2 linked regions of the Oreochromis niloticus genome follow. The protein of the gene in region 2 interacts with the protein of the main gene of each other region in a pairwise test. Links are inferred from orthologs where the notes say so. Each region holds a gene or a part of one and is shown on either strand. Other genes may lie near its edges. The genes, in order: fabp3 and shtn1.

The links.
Region 1: the proteins of shtn1 (region 2) and fabp3 interact in binary tests that used the Homo sapiens proteins (3 or more experiments, as listed by UniProt). The two-hybrid records come from large-scale screens. The link is inferred for Oreochromis niloticus from reciprocal best matches to the Homo sapiens genes SHTN1 and FABP3.

What each region holds. Positions count from the first base shown.
Region 1 is NC_031985.2:22,348,556-22,352,476, reverse strand, and holds the start of fabp3 (fatty acid-binding protein, heart), read right to left. Parts: upstream 2,580-3,921; 5' UTR 2,467-2,579; coding exon 2,394-2,466; intron 988-2,393; coding exon 815-987; intron 189-814; coding exon 87-188; intron 1-86. UniProt on the Homo sapiens protein: FABPs are thought to play a role in the intracellular transport of long-chain fatty acids and their acyl-CoA esters.
Region 2 is NC_031978.2:32,201,463-32,205,383, forward strand, and holds the start of shtn1 (shootin-1), read left to right. Parts: upstream 1-1,137; 5' UTR 1,138-1,174; intron 1,175-1,620; exon of another isoform or gene 1,621-1,670; intron 1,671-1,754; exon of another isoform or gene 1,755-1,778; 5' UTR 1,779-1,873; coding exon 1,874-1,928; intron 1,929-3,921. UniProt on the Homo sapiens protein: Involved in the generation of internal asymmetric signals required for neuronal polarization and neurite outgrowth.

The sequences.
Region 1 (3,921 bases), on a different chromosome or scaffold from region 2:
GAAGAGAAGTTACATGCACATACATACAGAAGTTAAATTTGAATTTGAATTATTCTTTTTTTTTTTGGAGGGGGGGGGTTACTGACCAGCAAGAGAACGTTGCCGTTGACTTCCCTGACCAGACTGGTCTCCTTGCCGTCCCACCGCTGAATGTGCACCAGCTTCCCGTCCTCTATCGTGACAATAGACTGGCGGGGGCAGAAACGAGAGTCAGACACACATCCAGCGAGTGAGTGAGGATCATTTAAATCAGTGGTTCGGCTTTCTGTTATTTCATCCGTGCACTTCACCTTTGCACAGACATCTTTATAGGCAGCTACTGCACTTTTCCCATCTCATGGCAAGCTTGTAAAAAAATACCTAAAGTTACATATTAAAGAACGCAACGCACAGGAACTGTGCAATCATAGAGGACGTCAATGACTTGTTGGGTAATTCATGTGCTCGTGCAACAGCCCACAGCAATATCAGTCTGAATGTGAGCAATAGCCACAGCTTCTTGCCATCAGCAAACACTCTGCGGTATATATGTAGTTTAAGTGAATGCTCCTTGCTCCTGTCCCCTGAAATGTTCCCTTTAAACACTACCGCGCACTCAACTTTATCTCTTTCCTAAAGCTTTATGTCATCCTATCACGACTGTTTCCTCAGCGATCCATCAGCCTGTGCACTGTAATTATGACACCATATTTATTTATGCAGCGATGTTCCAGCAGACTGCTGCTTACCTCATACGAAGCCTGCTTAAAACCTCTTTCATAAAAGTCTAAATAAAAGGTTTTGCATTGCACAAGTTGGACCTTTGACCTCTCACCTTAACCTTCCTGTCGTCGGCGGTGGTCTCGTCGAACTCCTCTCCCAGCTTGAAGCTGAGCTCTGTGTTTTTAATGGTACTCTGGGTCTTCAGCGTCACCGTGTCGCCGTCCACTGAGATGATGGTGGTGGGCTTGGTGAGGTTGGCCACTTTCCGTGTAGCGAAGCCCACGCCTGTGTAACAACACAAATTTCAAACAACCAGGTAAGTCAGGTGAGGTGTGCTGAGGGAGGATTATTCATGTGGAAAATAAACAAGTCGAAAGGTGAGGCAGAGACTCAACCTGTTTCTTTGCCGCTGGCATTGATCCTGTCACATAGGGGCAAAGTTTGTGTCAGTGTATCAAGCAGATGTTGAGATATTCTAACCCGACTTAAAGGAAACATCCTGGGAGCGTTTACAGATACCGAAAGGAATATGTTGTTGCACATCCAGAGCAAAAGCCGTTGGTTTGCCCCCCGGCTGCCCTTCATCTGACATGCCCTCTAATCTCTCTTTTATCAGCCACTTAAGCGTGCTGCACGTTCTTCAAACACTGCAGAGTCCCTCCGACCTGGGAGAGTGCCTGTCTGGGCCTGTGTGTGTGTGCAAATTATTACCTGCTTTCCTGGTGTGCGTTTGTGTGTGTATGAGGGATTGAGTGAATTTGTTTCTTTGGGTAAACGTGATTCACACCATTTGTTTCTCAAACAGAAATAATCTGTTTCTGTTTGAAGTTAACATCCCAATTCATTTACAGCAGTGACATTCCCATAGCACGTGTGTGTGTGTAGATGCCTCATCGATTAAAAGGACTGGGGTTAGAGGTTAAAGGGCGTCTGCTTGTCACCGTGACCAGAGGAAATAGGTCGATGGTGATATGACTCTATACAGCTGTAAAACAAACTCCATCCACCTGCCTCCATCCCACGCTCCACAGCCATGTGTGTGCGAGGTGTTCCGGAGCCAAACTATAACTCCATGTTCCCGTCCCATCAGCTCCTCGTTCCAGCTTGATATTCAGCTCCTCCCATGACCTCACACAATGAACAGCTTTCAGCGAAGGTCACCCACATTATACTACACTGTGTGTGTCTGTGTGTATGAATGCCATTCAGAGATTCCCACAGTGGGGCTGATTTTTCTTTTCTTCACTCAAAAAAGAAAAAGGGGGGGGGCCCTCCCTCCTTTCCAGCACTTGGGCCATGCGGTCAGCCATGCTTCCTCTTTTTCTCCCTCCCTCTGATTCCCATCTTCTCCTGCTTTCTTTCTGTTCCCAACCAATGCCTCGCTCCACCCTTTACTCTACAGCCTACCCCTTTATTTCTCCATTTGAAGCCTCCCTTATTTGCTCCCATCATTGCCCATTTTTTTTTCCCACACCCTGTATCAACAGCTACTTAAAACAGTTTACATATGAAACACACCTTACACCATTTATCTCGCCTCAAACCCGTCTCCACATGCGCTCGCATGCAGCACTGGCACTACTGCTGCATCCTCTCCTGTTTCACACGCATGCGCACACACTCCCCTGCGCAATGTGCATGCATTAAAAAAAACAGAAGAAGAAAGAAATAGAAATACACGGAACACTTACCCAGCTCTTTCATGTACTCATCAAATTTATCGCTCTCCTTGAGGAGCCATGTGCCAACGAAAACATCGACCATGTCTGCAGCGGTGCGGAGGAATGAGGGCGAGAGAGAGAGACGGTGTGTGTGTGAGGGAGAGAGAGAGGCGGCAAAGCAGGGGAGCGTCAGAATGAGAGACGAGGGAAAGAGGCAGGGAGAGTAATGTAAGCGCCACCAGCTTTGCTGTGATCTTACTGGCTGAATGTACCGGCTGTTCGTGATGTCATCACTCTGTGTCACCCACAGACTGCCGGACGCGAGGGGGGTAGGGGGGGTGCAAAGAGAGAACATGTGATAGCCTTGGTTTTGTCAAAGTGATTGCCATGCAAATAAATTGTGTTTGAATTGCTTGAAAGGTTTGTTTGCATCTGCTTTCTGTGCGTATTATCAGCCTTAATAAAGCATCGGAGAAAGAGAAGGAGGATCAGAGAGGGCTTTAGTAGAGAAATCAAAGAAGAGGGAGAAAGGGCAGAGTGGAGAAATTAATGGGGAGGAGGTGGAGGAGTACGAGGCGGTGAGCCTGAGGGAAAAGAGGCCCACCATTGAGTCTTTTTTTTTCTTTTTTTTTTGCAGCTGTTGGTTGTAAATGTGTTTTCTCTGCCCTTCTTTTACTCCCCAGTTGTTCTCGTCATCTCTGGTCCCTCCACCTGGGGGGTTTCCATCCACCTGCACTGTGTGGTTTGCCGGTTATTTTAATGACCCTGATTGTGGCTCACCAAAGTGTGAAAAGTGTAACCAAATGTGTATGTGTGTTTGTGAGAGTGCTTGTAAACACAGATACAGGTTTGCGAATGCTGGCAGACGTGTGTTGCAGTTATGACTGTGAAGATAACAGTGCTGGTGTGTTACTATAGTGCTTGTTTTGTAGACACAGATACAAAACATGTTCACCTCCAACTGGTCACAGATTGCTGCCCCTTCCTGGTTCTGCCAGAGGTTTCTTCCTGTTAAAAGGTAGTTTTTCCTTCCCACTGTTGACAAAGTGCTTGCTCATAGGGTTGTTTGATTACAGTTTCAAACGACCCGCAATACAAAGCGCCTTCAGGTGATTGTTCCTGTGATTTGTCGCTATTGAATTGATCTGTATTAACCCTAGAACACTATCGCTGGGTGATTTTCAACCGAGCAAATACATTTACATGATTTCTCTCTCCTGCAGCTGTTAGCTGTCGAGCAGACTGTGCCTCCACCAGGGAAGTCTCAAATGTCCCAGGAATGGGTGGATCAAAGACCAGCTTTCCAGTGTCATTATTTATTTTTTCTTTTAGGAATTTTTCTGTTCTTGAATTCCAGATTTTTCTGTAATTTGGGAACATTATTTTAGAGTCCCCCCATGACACTTTTTTCATTTTGTTAGACATGGCACAGTTGAAAGTAAAAGCAGACCACTCTGATTTGTAATGTGTTGTCATATTTTGATATATTTTGATGACAAGTACTTTTTGTTGGTCATATTATATCGGGTAAAAATCACCCAGCATTAGTGATTGTGTT
Region 2 (3,921 bases):
ATTACAATCATCTTTATGACTGATATTAGCACAGATTTAATATCATAATTTAGTAACTGTACGGAAACAAACGTTCAGGTGCTGGAGTTTGTTTTAAGAGCGGTCAGTCCTCTTTACTCTCCGTGTTACGTGGACCTGGATGCGTTCTTGTCTCTGGACCTTCTTGCTTCTTCTCTGCATTTACATTTTTGTGGTGTTTTGATTTGTCTTGCAAAAACATGAGTGAGTGTATTTTAAAGAAATCACATCTGTCTGCAGAAACAGTTTATTGTGCAACCATGGTTCTGTGAGTTTACATTAAATTATATGACATATGAAATTATATGTTGTGTGTCCTGGATCATTGTCCCCTCCTGCCAACATCTGAGCTAATATATCTGTTACTGGCTGTAACAAAAGTATAAATATGTAACTACAAGGCTGCTGCATACTTTCTTTGTTAGAGCTGTGAACTGTAAATCAGCTCTCCTAGTTTCTGCTGAGACACCCAGTGTCCTCTCTCACTGCCTTCATCAGCTGTTAGCTAGCATCAGATGAGCCAGTGTGACAGTTAAGCTAACATCATCCTGATACAGGTCACAATGTGCTGCACACAAGAAGAGCCAGAGATAAATGAAGGCTTTCTGTTTAATGTTGGTCTGGTTTATATTTAATTCTTACAGAATGTGTTTGAATAGAAAATTAATATGCAAAGAAAAGAACCAAGCAGCTGTGTGAGGTCACTCTATGATAGTCGAAGCCACGGTTCATTTATTGTGACTGAAGTGAATAAAAAAGTGGACTAAACGGGCAGCATCGTTATTCTGTTGCATGTGTTTGTTTACTTCTGCTGTTGATATTTCTGTGTTTAATGTTGATGTCCGCGTGCCAGAATATTTATGAGCCGGGCTGAAATCGGTCACCGAGTATTATTATTATTATCATCATTATTATTATTATTATATTTGTTGTTTTTTGTTCTTTTTAATCATTTTGAGATTAAAGTGGAGATTCTGGTTGTTCGGAGACGAAGCTCCACGGTCAGTGAAGGTCGTGCTTCAGAGCCGGTTTTTATTACAAGGAAGGAAATGATTTCTGTTCTCGCACATAAACACAGTGAGGTGATAAACACAAGGATGTTCAAAAGGAGAGCTGCATCAGGTCACACGGAAACCCACACAACCGTTGTGCCAAGGTAGGGCTCTGTGGAAAGGACATTTCTATACAGACGAGCTTTTAAGTTCTGTTTTCATTGTTTTATATTATTATTCATATTTCTGGTTTTATTGAGGAGCACTTTGTGACTTTTATCTATGAAACGTGCTGTATAAATACATTTGAGTTACAATTAACTAGACGTGTGAGTATGACGTTTAGCGAAACAGTGAGAGATGAGCGCCGTTACGTTACCGACAGAAATGACACGTTTATCATTGTCACGTGGTGTCGGACGTTTTGCCTGATTATTTGTATCCTCTGTATCTTTACTGCATCTTTACTGTATAAAGAGCTAAGACCTCCAAAGCTGCAGGAGTAATAAGTCCTTGTAGGAAGTGTTTGGGAACTAAAAATCAAGAATGACAGATACAAGGTTACATCCTCGTACAATAAAGACGCCTGTTTCATGAAGCCATCTACACTAAGCTTGTTGTAAAGGGTGCAGCAGCCGTGCAGTTTGTCTTCAATCAGCTGTAATCCGCACACTTCGACTTTATTCTCAAAATAATCAATAATATTGTTCCTAATCCTAATGTGGCCCTTATGCTCACTCCTAGCGTCTCTTGTCTGTGCTATCTCAGCTGCACTCTTATCTCGTGCCGTGCGCCAGTGTCCACCTGGGCAGGTGTGTCTTGAAAGAACACTTCCTGTTGAACTTTGGACAAGGATTTTTGTCATGGCTGCGGAGGAACTCGACAGAATTAATGTTATTACAAACCTGTCGAATCAGGGTAAGTTTCTTTTCTGTTCCCTGCCCTGTAACAGTGTTTCCAGTAGTAACACTGCATTTTACTACAGTGACATCACAGCCCAGCAGTTGTAAGATCCTGAAGAGTGTCTTTAAGATTTACTGCTTGCCTAGTGTCGAGGGCTGGATTATCACATAGCTGCTTATTTGCCTTCTCTAAGGGTTTTGTTTCTATGGCCAAAGGTGTGTACAGTAAGATGCTGCTTTAACTTGACGTAACAACTCTGCCAAAGTCTAACGTGGCCTGTGGATTAAACACCTAATCTTAAAGCAAGCCTGTGGTGAAAAAAGAGGTTGGACCCCTCATGTTATACTACGTAGAGCATACTTTGGTTGTGACAGCAAGAGAAGGACACATGTTAGGCAGGATAATCCATTTAGATGACCTCCTTTTGGGTTTTGCGCACGCTTGCTCACTGTCGTGGCTCACTGGGCTACTTGATGAAACTTAAAATGGGTCCCAGTGGGAGAAACGTTTCGTCACTCATCCAAGTGACTGTTTCAGTCACTAAATGCAGGTTTACCCAACATTATAAACAGTTTGTATAATGAATGAACAATGGGCTGGGAGGTTATTGATCAGTAATCTGCACTTTGTCATGAACACTGACCAACGGCCATGAGTCCCATTCACAGAGAGTTGGGGAATGGCTGCAATCACAGCATTGTAAGATGGTGACAGATGTACCCTTAGGCCCCCTCCTCCATTCAGAGATGGTCTTTCCCTTTTCACGTAAATGGCCTCCTTGACTCCGCCCTCAAACCAGCGTTCTTCCCTGTCCAGGATATGTACATCCTCATCATTGAAAGAGTGTCCAATGGCCTGTAGGTGTAAATAGACTGCAGAGTCCTGGCCTGATGAGGTAGCTCTTCTGTGTTGTGCCATCCGCTTCGCCAGAGGTTGTTTGGTTTCCCCGATGTATAAATCCTGGCACTTAACAGCGTACACTATGTTACTCTGTTTGTGTCGGGGGACCCGATCCTTGGGGTGGACCAGTTTTTGGTGCAGCGTGTTTTGGGGTTTAAAAGCCACAGAGACTCGGCGATACTCCTGACACGTACAGGATCACTACAGGTTTTCGCCTGGGCAGCGGTTGTCCTTCTCTCCTGGATCGGCTGGAGCTTTCTTTGGGAGCTTTCTCTGCTTTGACAAAAGTCCAGCTGGGATAACCACATTTACTCAGGGCCTTCCTGATGTGCTGTTCTTCTGCTTCGCTGGCCGCTGTGTCTGTGGGGATGGTGTTCACTCTGTGTTGTGTTGTAATCTGCAGTCAGCTCTGACTCAGCTCTGATGCTATCTAATTATGTAACATATGTGGAGAATGACTCTAGACAGGCTCAGCTGGCAGTTGGACGTGCTGCTTTGTTAGCCCGGAGATCATCGAGATGTCAGAATCAGAACACTTTCCCAGAGCAAACACGATAAGAACTAACTAAACTAAATAAAAATAAATATATTACAAAGTTACAAAATAGAACTAATAGCTCTAATTATAAATATGCCAGTACAATACACAAAGTGAAATGTATAAAGTTGACATTGAGGTGCCCCTCATATTATATTGGCTTACAGTTTGTGATATTAAGGGTGTGTAATCATTACAGTGTGTACTTGTGCTTTAAATGGAGGAACTGTACAGAGAGAGATTCACAGGCAGGAGTGATTTCCTGTGTCTGTGAGTGGTGCGTTTGGGTAATCTCAGTCTTTCACTGAACGTGCTCCTGTGACGACAGCACACGATGGAGTGGGTGGAGGTATCCAGCTTTGTCCTTAACCTGGACAACATCCGCCTGGCTGACACCACCTGTTGGATGGCCTGAATCCAGTGATGGTCTTCATGCAGACCGCTCTCATGCCGCTCTCTCGAGTTCCTGCTCCAGCTTTCTCTTATACTTAGCCTCTCTGAACATTCTCACCTTCTCTCTTCTTGTCCTTGAGGAGGGCTGTGATGTCCGTAGTCACCCACAGCTTTTTA